2 linked regions of the Arabidopsis thaliana genome follow. The protein of the gene in region 2 interacts with the protein of the main gene of each other region in a pairwise test. Each region holds a gene or a part of one and is shown on either strand. Other genes may lie near its edges.

What was found.
Region 1: the proteins of AT4G00238 (region 2) and MBD6 interact in a two-hybrid assay, tested with the Arabidopsis thaliana proteins (one large-scale study listed by BioGRID).

Annotation. Positions count from the first base shown.
Region 1 is NC_003076.8:23,950,196-23,954,500, reverse strand, and holds MBD6 (methyl-CPG-binding domain 6), read right to left. Parts: upstream 2,370-4,305; 5' UTR 2,181-2,369; coding exon 1,872-2,180; intron 1,463-1,871; coding exon 1,340-1,462; intron 1,262-1,339; coding exon 1,016-1,261; 3' UTR 794-1,015; downstream 1-793. Other genes in the region: ACT4 (actin 4), read right to left, coding at 2,915-2,980, 3,086-3,699, 3,848-4,241. UniProt on the Arabidopsis thaliana protein: Transcriptional regulator that binds CpG, CpNpN and CpNpG (N is A, T, or C) islands in promoters regardless the DNA methylation status. Plays probably a role in gene silencing. May associate with histone deacetylase proteins (HDAC).
Region 2 is NC_003075.7:103,003-107,104, forward strand, and holds AT4G00238 (DNA-binding storekeeper protein-related transcriptional regulator), read right to left. Parts: upstream 2,220-4,102; 5' UTR 2,128-2,219; coding exon 1,090-2,127; 3' UTR 821-1,089; downstream 1-820. Other genes in the region: PLDBETA2 (phospholipase D beta 2), read right to left, coding at 3,378-3,671, 3,750-3,947, 4,030-4,102. UniProt on the Arabidopsis thaliana protein: Transcription repressor that binds DNA in a sequence-specific manner, 5'-GCCT-3', to regulate the expression of PGR. Acts as a modulatory component for the glucose-triggered developmental leaf growth process.

The sequences.
Region 1 (4,305 bases), on a different chromosome or scaffold from region 2:
TCCCAATAAAAATGAGAGTCTAAGCCATGGAAAATAAAAAGCAGAGACCTTTTTTTTTTCTCAATTTTCTTCTGCTTGGTGAATCACAAAAATAGTGTGTGTTTTTTTTCCGTTTGACTCTTAAGGTTTTCTCTTCCTCCCCAAAATTGCTTTTTGAAGAGACAGACCGTCGCAGCAAACTCAGTGGCAATACTGTAAATTTTAATAAACAGAGAGGGGAAATGATAGTCAAAAGCCAACAAAACTTAAAACCTTTTCGTTTCACTTTTTTTCAAAAGCTTGGGATACAAGACTAATAAGGAAGCCTCTGGTACACCTAGAAGGTTACAAGACCAAAAATTACTAAATTAGACGATGGGTTGGGAGAGTTCCAATGGCCTTTTTGATAATTTATTGCAGATATTAAATGTGCTACAACCAGTTACATTCGAACCCCACAAATTGTTTGGTTAACAAAATCTAAAATTATGTTTGGGAAAAATATAATTGCGTCTGCCGGGAGTCGAACCCGGGTCTATTGCTTGGAAGGCAATTATCCTAACCGTTGGACTACAGACGCTTCTTGTCTTGTATCAGTGCAGTATTGTTGATGTTTCTTCTTATCCATTAGATTTAGATAACCTGAGCAGGTGAGACATGTCAAGCATTAGTTCTTGAATTACGACACTGGTTTCACAAAGAACAAGATCTTTTCCTAAACACAAAGTAAAAGACTTTGGAACACAGAATAGTTCAGTATCAAAATGTCTAAGAAGAATAGCTTTGTTACTACGACAGTGTCTTCAATTTCATCAGTCAAAAGTCGAATGGTTATCACGTTCCAAAAGCAAACACAAAGATGCATATCCCCTTATCATATTCTTCCAAAAACCGCTACAAAAATTATAGTACACATAACTTGATGATTGATGAATGAAGACTAAACAAGAATTATCCAATTAAGTAACCCTAACATATCTGTGTATCTTACCATAGATGCAACAACCCAAAAATCGCCACCAGGTCATCATAGTCTTCAAGCCGACACTTTACTAGGGTTTCGGCTTGTGATAAAGGTAAACGCAGTGCTCCAATCTCGTCTCACTGAGTCTTGAACCTTGACGTCCCCAATATTAGGTATCCAACCTTCTTCTCCTGCGTTTGCCATAGACCAGCTTACCTTGTCTGGTGGATTCTTAAAATCAAAGTCCAATGGCGGTGGCGGAGGTGGAGGCACTGTAGCGGTTCTGGTGACTCTATTGCTTCCTTGGCCTTCAAAATGCTGCAAATGCAAAATTCAATACACATCACAGGTTTGAAACCAGGGTGAAAGGTTTAATCTTTAAGCATGTAAACTCACGTCTGGATTGAAATATGTATTCTCAGCTTTCTTGGTGCCTCTTTTAGAAGTTCCATGTTCCAAGTAGTACAGCACCTCAGTCCTGGACCGAAACTTACGTCCTGTATTTGGTTCGTAATAGTACTGCAAAACCAGATAAGAAAATGTCACAAGTCTACACATCAATATCTACACCCATATTAGCATCGAGTATAACAACACCAAAACTTCATCTCTTCAATCACAATATATACCAAACCAAACCATCTAAATCCACCTGATAAATCAAAGTAACACTAATCACACTGATAAAGTGTATGATTCAAGTCCCAATACACCATTAACATAATCTAAACAAACTCATTAATGCTTAAGCAGAACCAACCACATCATTTTACTACATCATTACACTTGTCACTACTTTAAAGGCAAGATTTTTAAACCAAAGAGAACAAAACAACAGCAATCAAAGAATCCTCAATTTGTAGTCTTCAAGCAACAACGCAGCTCAAAACTTCATAGAGAAAAGCAGAGTCAAGCTGAGATTCTTTACCTTATCCACCGAACCAGCTGTGGCACCGGAAGTTCGAATCTTATCTTCAACTCTCCAACCAGGAGGCAACCAATTATCTCCAGGCGCCGCACGCTTCCGCGACTTCGATTCCGTCTGATGATTCACCTGATCAGTGCCGTTAGCCATCCCGATGCGTACGCTCTCTCCCGAACCAGAAATTCCGATTCCTCCCTGAATCGGTCGTCGTTTCGCACTACTGTCTAGGGTTCCGTCACCGGCGGAGGAGATGAAGGCTCCGGAGGCGAGAAGTGGATCGGGAGGGAAATCGCCGGCCACAGAATCTGACATACGAATTAGGGATTTGTCTTCACCAATGAGCAATGAGATCGCAGATTTTAACGGCGACGATCTCGAGAAATGGATTCTCCGTCGCAGCTTCTGTTTCTGGGTTTACGATTCGGTTCGGTTAAACCGAGATCGAATAAGAAATTAAAATTTAGTTAACCATCAACAATTCGTTTCTTCTTTTCTTTACCAACAAACATAATAAACACGTTTTATTACTAAATGAAACATTTAAACTCATCTTCTCATCACTAATCCATCAGTTTAACATTTTGTGTTGTGTTTATTGACACTTATTAGACCACATCCATTTAACCGAGTAATCTAAGATTTAGTGAGTTTCGACAATATGCATTTATATGTCACAATTGTTTGTACTAGATCAACATTATGGAGCTTGTTTTGTGTTTGATACGGATGTCTTTGAAGTATATTAGTCACAATTGTTTAACCATCACAAAATCTCTTTTGAGTAACAAATAAATTAAGTTTAAAATAGAAAATATAATAATTGAAATTAGTCGCTTATATATAGTACATTGGGAGTGGAAATTGTTTAAAGAAAAGTATGCTTAGTTGAAAAATTAACATAGAGAGGCTATTCAAAAAAAAAAGGATAAAAGAGAGATTAGAAAATATAATGGAAAAATGTGGCATTTGGTAGTAATCTCAATGTTTTTAACCTTCTGTCTTTTACTTTTACTTCCGTCTTCGTTTGGTGATCTTAGGAACTGTGATTAGAAGCATTTCCTATGCACTATTGAGGGTCCAGATTCATCGTACTCTGCTTTCGCAATCCACATCTGTCAAGTTTTCAAACACATACCAATATTTATATCAAAACAAACTTATGAATGTTATATTATACATGATCAAATAATAATAAAAATGTATATTAATGTGTTCACCTGCTGGAAAGTGCTGAGTGAAGCCAATATAGAGCCACCGATCCATACACTGTACTTCCTCTCCGGTGGAGCCACGACCTTAATCTTCATACTACTTGGAGCCAAAGCCGTAATCTCTTTGCTCATTCTATCACCAATCCCTCCAAACATTGTGGTTCCACCACTTAGCACAATGTTACCATACAAGTCTTTCCTAATATCCACATCACATTTCATGATAGAGTTATATGTGGTTTCATGGATTCCTGGATTTTCCATTCCGATCATTGACGGCTGGAACAGAACTTCCGGACACCGGAACCTCTCTGCTCCAATGGTTATCACTTGTCCATCAGGAAGCTCGAAGCTTTTCTCAACGGACGAGCTTGTTTTGGAAGTCTCTAGCTCTTGCTCGAAGTCTAGAGCAATGTAAGAGAGCTTCTCTTTCATGTCTCTAACAATTTCACGTTCAGCAGTTGTGGTGAAGGAGTATCCACGCTCTGTGAGGATTTTCATGAGGTGGTCCGTGAGGTCACGACCTGCTAGGTCAAGACGTAGGATTGCGTGTGGGAGAGCGTAACCCTCGTAGATTGGTACCGTGTGGCTCACACCATCTCCAGAGTCCAAAACAATACCTAATCAATAATTTGCAAAAGAACCAATTAGGGTTGTCCATAAAAGCATAACCAAATAGTCCTTAAAATAGTTCATATTATTTAAAATCAAGCATGAAAAAAAACTGGTTATAGATTGGATCAACACAAATATAAGTGTGTTACTGACCAGTTGTACGGCCACTGGCATAGAGTGAGAGAACAGCTTGAATGGCAACATACATAGCAGGAGTATTGAATGTCTCAAACATGATCTGAGTCATCTTCTCACGGTTAGCTTTCGGATTGAGAGGAGCTTCGGTCAAGAGAACCGGATGTTCTTCAGGGGCAACACGAAGCTCATTGTAGAAAGTGTGATGCCAAATCTTCTCCATGTCATCCCAATTATTAACAATTCCATGCTCAATTGGGTACTTCAGAGTCAAGATACCACGTTTTGATTGAGCCTCGTCTCCAACATAAGCATCCTTTTGTCCCATCCCTACCATCACACCCGTGTGGCGAGGACGGCCTACAATGCTCGGAAAAACCGCTCTTGGTGCATCGTCACCCGCGAATCCGGCCTAAGCACGGGATATATTTTTGAGTAGTCGTTTATGGCATAGCCTTATATATATGTGACATAGC
Region 2 (4,102 bases):
AGTAGCTGTCAAGATTCTTTCTGAATCATCGGCTCAAGGGTACGAAGAGTTCAGAGCAGAGGTAACTCTCTTATACACTAAGAGGTTTAGTCTCTATTAAGTGAGTTCTGTAGTAATCGGGATATCCACCAACTTGTGTATGATCAGGTCGAACTTCTCCTGAGAGTTCATCACAAGAACCTAACCGCTCTTATCGGATACTGCCACGAAGGCAAGAAGATGGCGCTTATCTATGAGTTTATGGCTAATGGAACCTTAGGAGATTACTTGTCAGGTCAGTCTATTTGCTACTTTGTTTTGGTCACTGGTCTTTTGCTGCTGTAGACATTGTTTTACAAAATGAAGGTACCATTTGACCGCAAGAATTAAGCGAGAAAAGTGATGTTTAGAGCTTCGGGGTTGTTCTTTTAGAGGTTGTCACAGGCCAACCGGTGATTGCACGTTCAAGAACAACAGCAGAGAACATACACATAACTGAGTCGACTTTAATGCTGTCGACAGGAGATATCAGAGGCATTGTGGATCCAAAGCTAGGGGAGAGGTTTGATGCTGGTTCGGCATGGAAGATCACTGAAGTAGCAATGGCTTGTGCATCTTCTAGTTCTAAGAATAGACCGAGGATGAGTCATGTAGTTGCTGAGCTAAAGGAGAGTGTAAGCAGAGCAAGAGCTCAACAAGTGATATGAAATTGGGACAGTAGTTAGTAGTAACCACAACATGTAAAAATTCAATTGGTATGATAGCTAACAATCTCCCACATTCTGTTGTGTGTTTCTTTGTTTTGTAATAACTCTGGTTACGAGTAGAGAGACATTCATATAAGAAGCACATTTACAAAGTCTTAAAAGTTCATTATAACCATAGACCAAAAGGCTAGTTAGACAACTTAGCTAATTCATTACAACCATCGACCAAAAGGCTTGTTAGACAAAGCTAATTCTCACACGAGAATCCAAAGTCCTAAAAGTTCATTAGAGTAGATAGAAAGATGAAGCCTAAGATAGATAACAAAATAAGGCATTACATCTTCATTAAACCCGAGATTAAACGGATAAACATATACAATCCAATAGCTTCCTCTTCTTCTTCTTAGTTGGTTTGAGTAAGCACTGAAGTCACCTCCTTCAAAACATCCATGTTCGCCAACAACAACTCACATTTCTTAGCATCCACAAGCTTCATCTTCTCTTGAATCCTCTTCTTAGTCTCCACGGACACCTTGCTCCACTTCTTCTTCACAGAATACTCATCCAAACCGAGACTAGCGATAACCGGAACAAGAAAAGACTCCTCAAACCACTCCGAATCTTCTCCAAGAATCACGACTTGCTCATCTTCTTTAACCAAAGGTTTCACGTTCTTCTCCTTGCTATTAGCCTTAACAAGAACAGATTCATCTTTCACTTTCTTCTTCACAGGAGTTTCAAGGCTCACACCATCAGATCCCCAAAAAGAAACAGCCAAACCCAAACACTTCTTATCATGATCCGATTCAACACTTCTCACCTTCCGGTCACCAAAATACTTTCTCTTAAAGCTTCTAATCTTGTCAAAGAACTGGACTTTACTAACATCAAAGCTTATAGATTTCTTGGCGATATCAAAAAACCTATCCTTATGATCCCAAGGACTTGTACCTGTCTCAGCTTTGAAATCGATCATTGCTTGCAGGAGAGAGATCTCGTCTTCTTCACTCCATACTCTCTGAGCATGCCCCTTTTTGTTATCGCCCTCTTTCTTAATTCTTTTGACATGCATGTCCCTTGACGTGGTTCCTTCGCTAGCTCGCTTCTTCCCTGACTTCACCGCCGGTGATTCAGTAGCACCTTCGTTATTCCCTGACTTCACTGCCGGTGATTCAGCAGCACCTTCTTTCTTCCCTGACTTCACTGCCGGTGATTCAGCAGCACCTTCTTTCTTCTTCCGCCTGGTTAAGACGAATGACTGCTTCTCTGACTCTGAGTCATCAGAAACTGCCACGGCGGCGGAAGGAGAGTTTAGGGTTTTTGTTGACGGAACAGTGACGGGAGCTTCTTTGGGTTTGCTTTCTTTAGAAGAAGAGATCTCTTCAGAAGAACTCTCAAATTCGCTTGAAGAATCGATTGCTGGATTTTCCAAAGAAGCCATTGGATTTTTTTCGGTATGATGAAGAAGAGTGAGTGAGAGAGTTACTTTTTTTAGGGTTAGTGAGCGGCGAGACTTTTTTTCCTTTAACGCTGAACATTCTTCACTCTCTTTTATATTTAACAAACAATCTAATTAAACAAAGCCCAACAACAAATTAAGGTTGTTCGAATGTTGTCTGCTAAGAGTTTTGGTGGGCTTGATAGGGACAAGGTATTGACTTTAGACTAAGTATCATCGGTTGGTCTTGTCTAGTGTTCTCCATTTCATATTAGTCGTTTTGCTCTGCCTATAATGTTCATTGCTAGGATTCAACAGAGAATAAAGGCTACAATAAGCATATAGTCTTATCTTCTTCAGGGGTTGCTAACATTATTAGTTTGAATCTGATACGCATGGTACACACTCTCTTTAGTCTCTGTAACAGTCTTCTCATTTTTTGAATGATACTACTACTGCTAGAGATCTTTGCCGTTAAATATAGACAAAGTTTAGTAGCCAGGCTAGGCTTGGACATTCGGATTTCGAATCGGATATATTCGGATTCGGATCATTAGGATAGGAGAACTTATTATCCGTACGGATTTTATGAATTTTCGGATCGAATTCGGATCGGATATTTTCGGATTCGGATAATTTGGATAGAAAATTTATTATCCGTTCGGATTTTACTAATCTTTGGTTTGGTTTTTGTTCGGATAAGTGTCGGATTCGGACCGGTTTTTAAAGAGCTAAAAATTGTTCAACTTAAATAAAAATTGGTTTAATCTTTACTAAAATTTGGTTAAATTTTGCAAAAGTATGTATACTATTAACAAATGTAACTAAAAGATTTCCAATTTCTTTATTATTTAGGATATTTTGTTATTTATTATAAAATTACAACTAAATATAAATAATATTTTTGGATATATATATTTTTCAGTTTTCGGATATCCTCTCGGATTTCGGTTCGGATCGGATTCGGTTCGAGTAATTCGGATAGGAGAATTCATTATCCATTCGGATTTTGTAACTATTCGGTTCAAGTTCGGTTCCGGATCGGTTTTCGGATTTCGGATTTTATAGCCAGGCCAAAGCTTTTTCATGTACATGATTTCTTATTCTAAATAGAATTAGGATTAAGTAGCTTCTTTTTACTTGTTATTCAAACTTGAGGAGAAACATCAAACTTTGTTTATTTACAAAGTCTGATCAATTGTTGTTTGTTTACACATATAAGGTCTTCTTAATAAATGCGACTCTGCTTATGATTAGATAGTGAGATTCTCCTGTATGGCTAGAAAGGATCCAACAACGTTTCCTCCGACATCAGGGAACTCCTCACTTCCTGGAAGTGGTCGGACTTTGCCTTTCCGATCAACTTCCACCGGATATTTCATCAGATGTCCTCTCATCTCCGACACTTCCTCACTCCTAAACTGTTCCCAGTTCTCCTCCGCCACTGTTCTCACTTTCCTTACACACCCTAGACTCTCTGGCTCCACAAAGCAATCATCTAGCAGTGCCATGTGTTCTGCCCAAAGCGACATTCTATATCCGTAGATCTGCAGATTATGTACCAAGTATTATTGATACGACTAGGACTATGAAACCATGTGTGTACTATCTTTGTGTGCTATTACCTGACCCCGAGGACCTGACTGTCGTCGTGCCCATGTATGTTGAGGCTGGTAAGCTCCCATTGCAATCTCTGTATCTCTTGTCCCCTCCATTGATCTTTGGTTTATGTTTGCAGATCCAATTACCACATACTCATCATCAACAACCATCCCTTTTGAATGAACATATATCATAAATCTTCTGCTCTTTCGACATAATCCCTATAATACAGTTTCAATCAAAACTCATCAATCAATGACGATAGAAACCGCATTAGCAAGTCAAGCAGTTTGGTTTTGTTACCTGAGGAGTGTTCTCGTTGCTTGCACTTCCTGTACCCGATTCATTATTTCCGTTCACCATTTCTCGGTTTCCA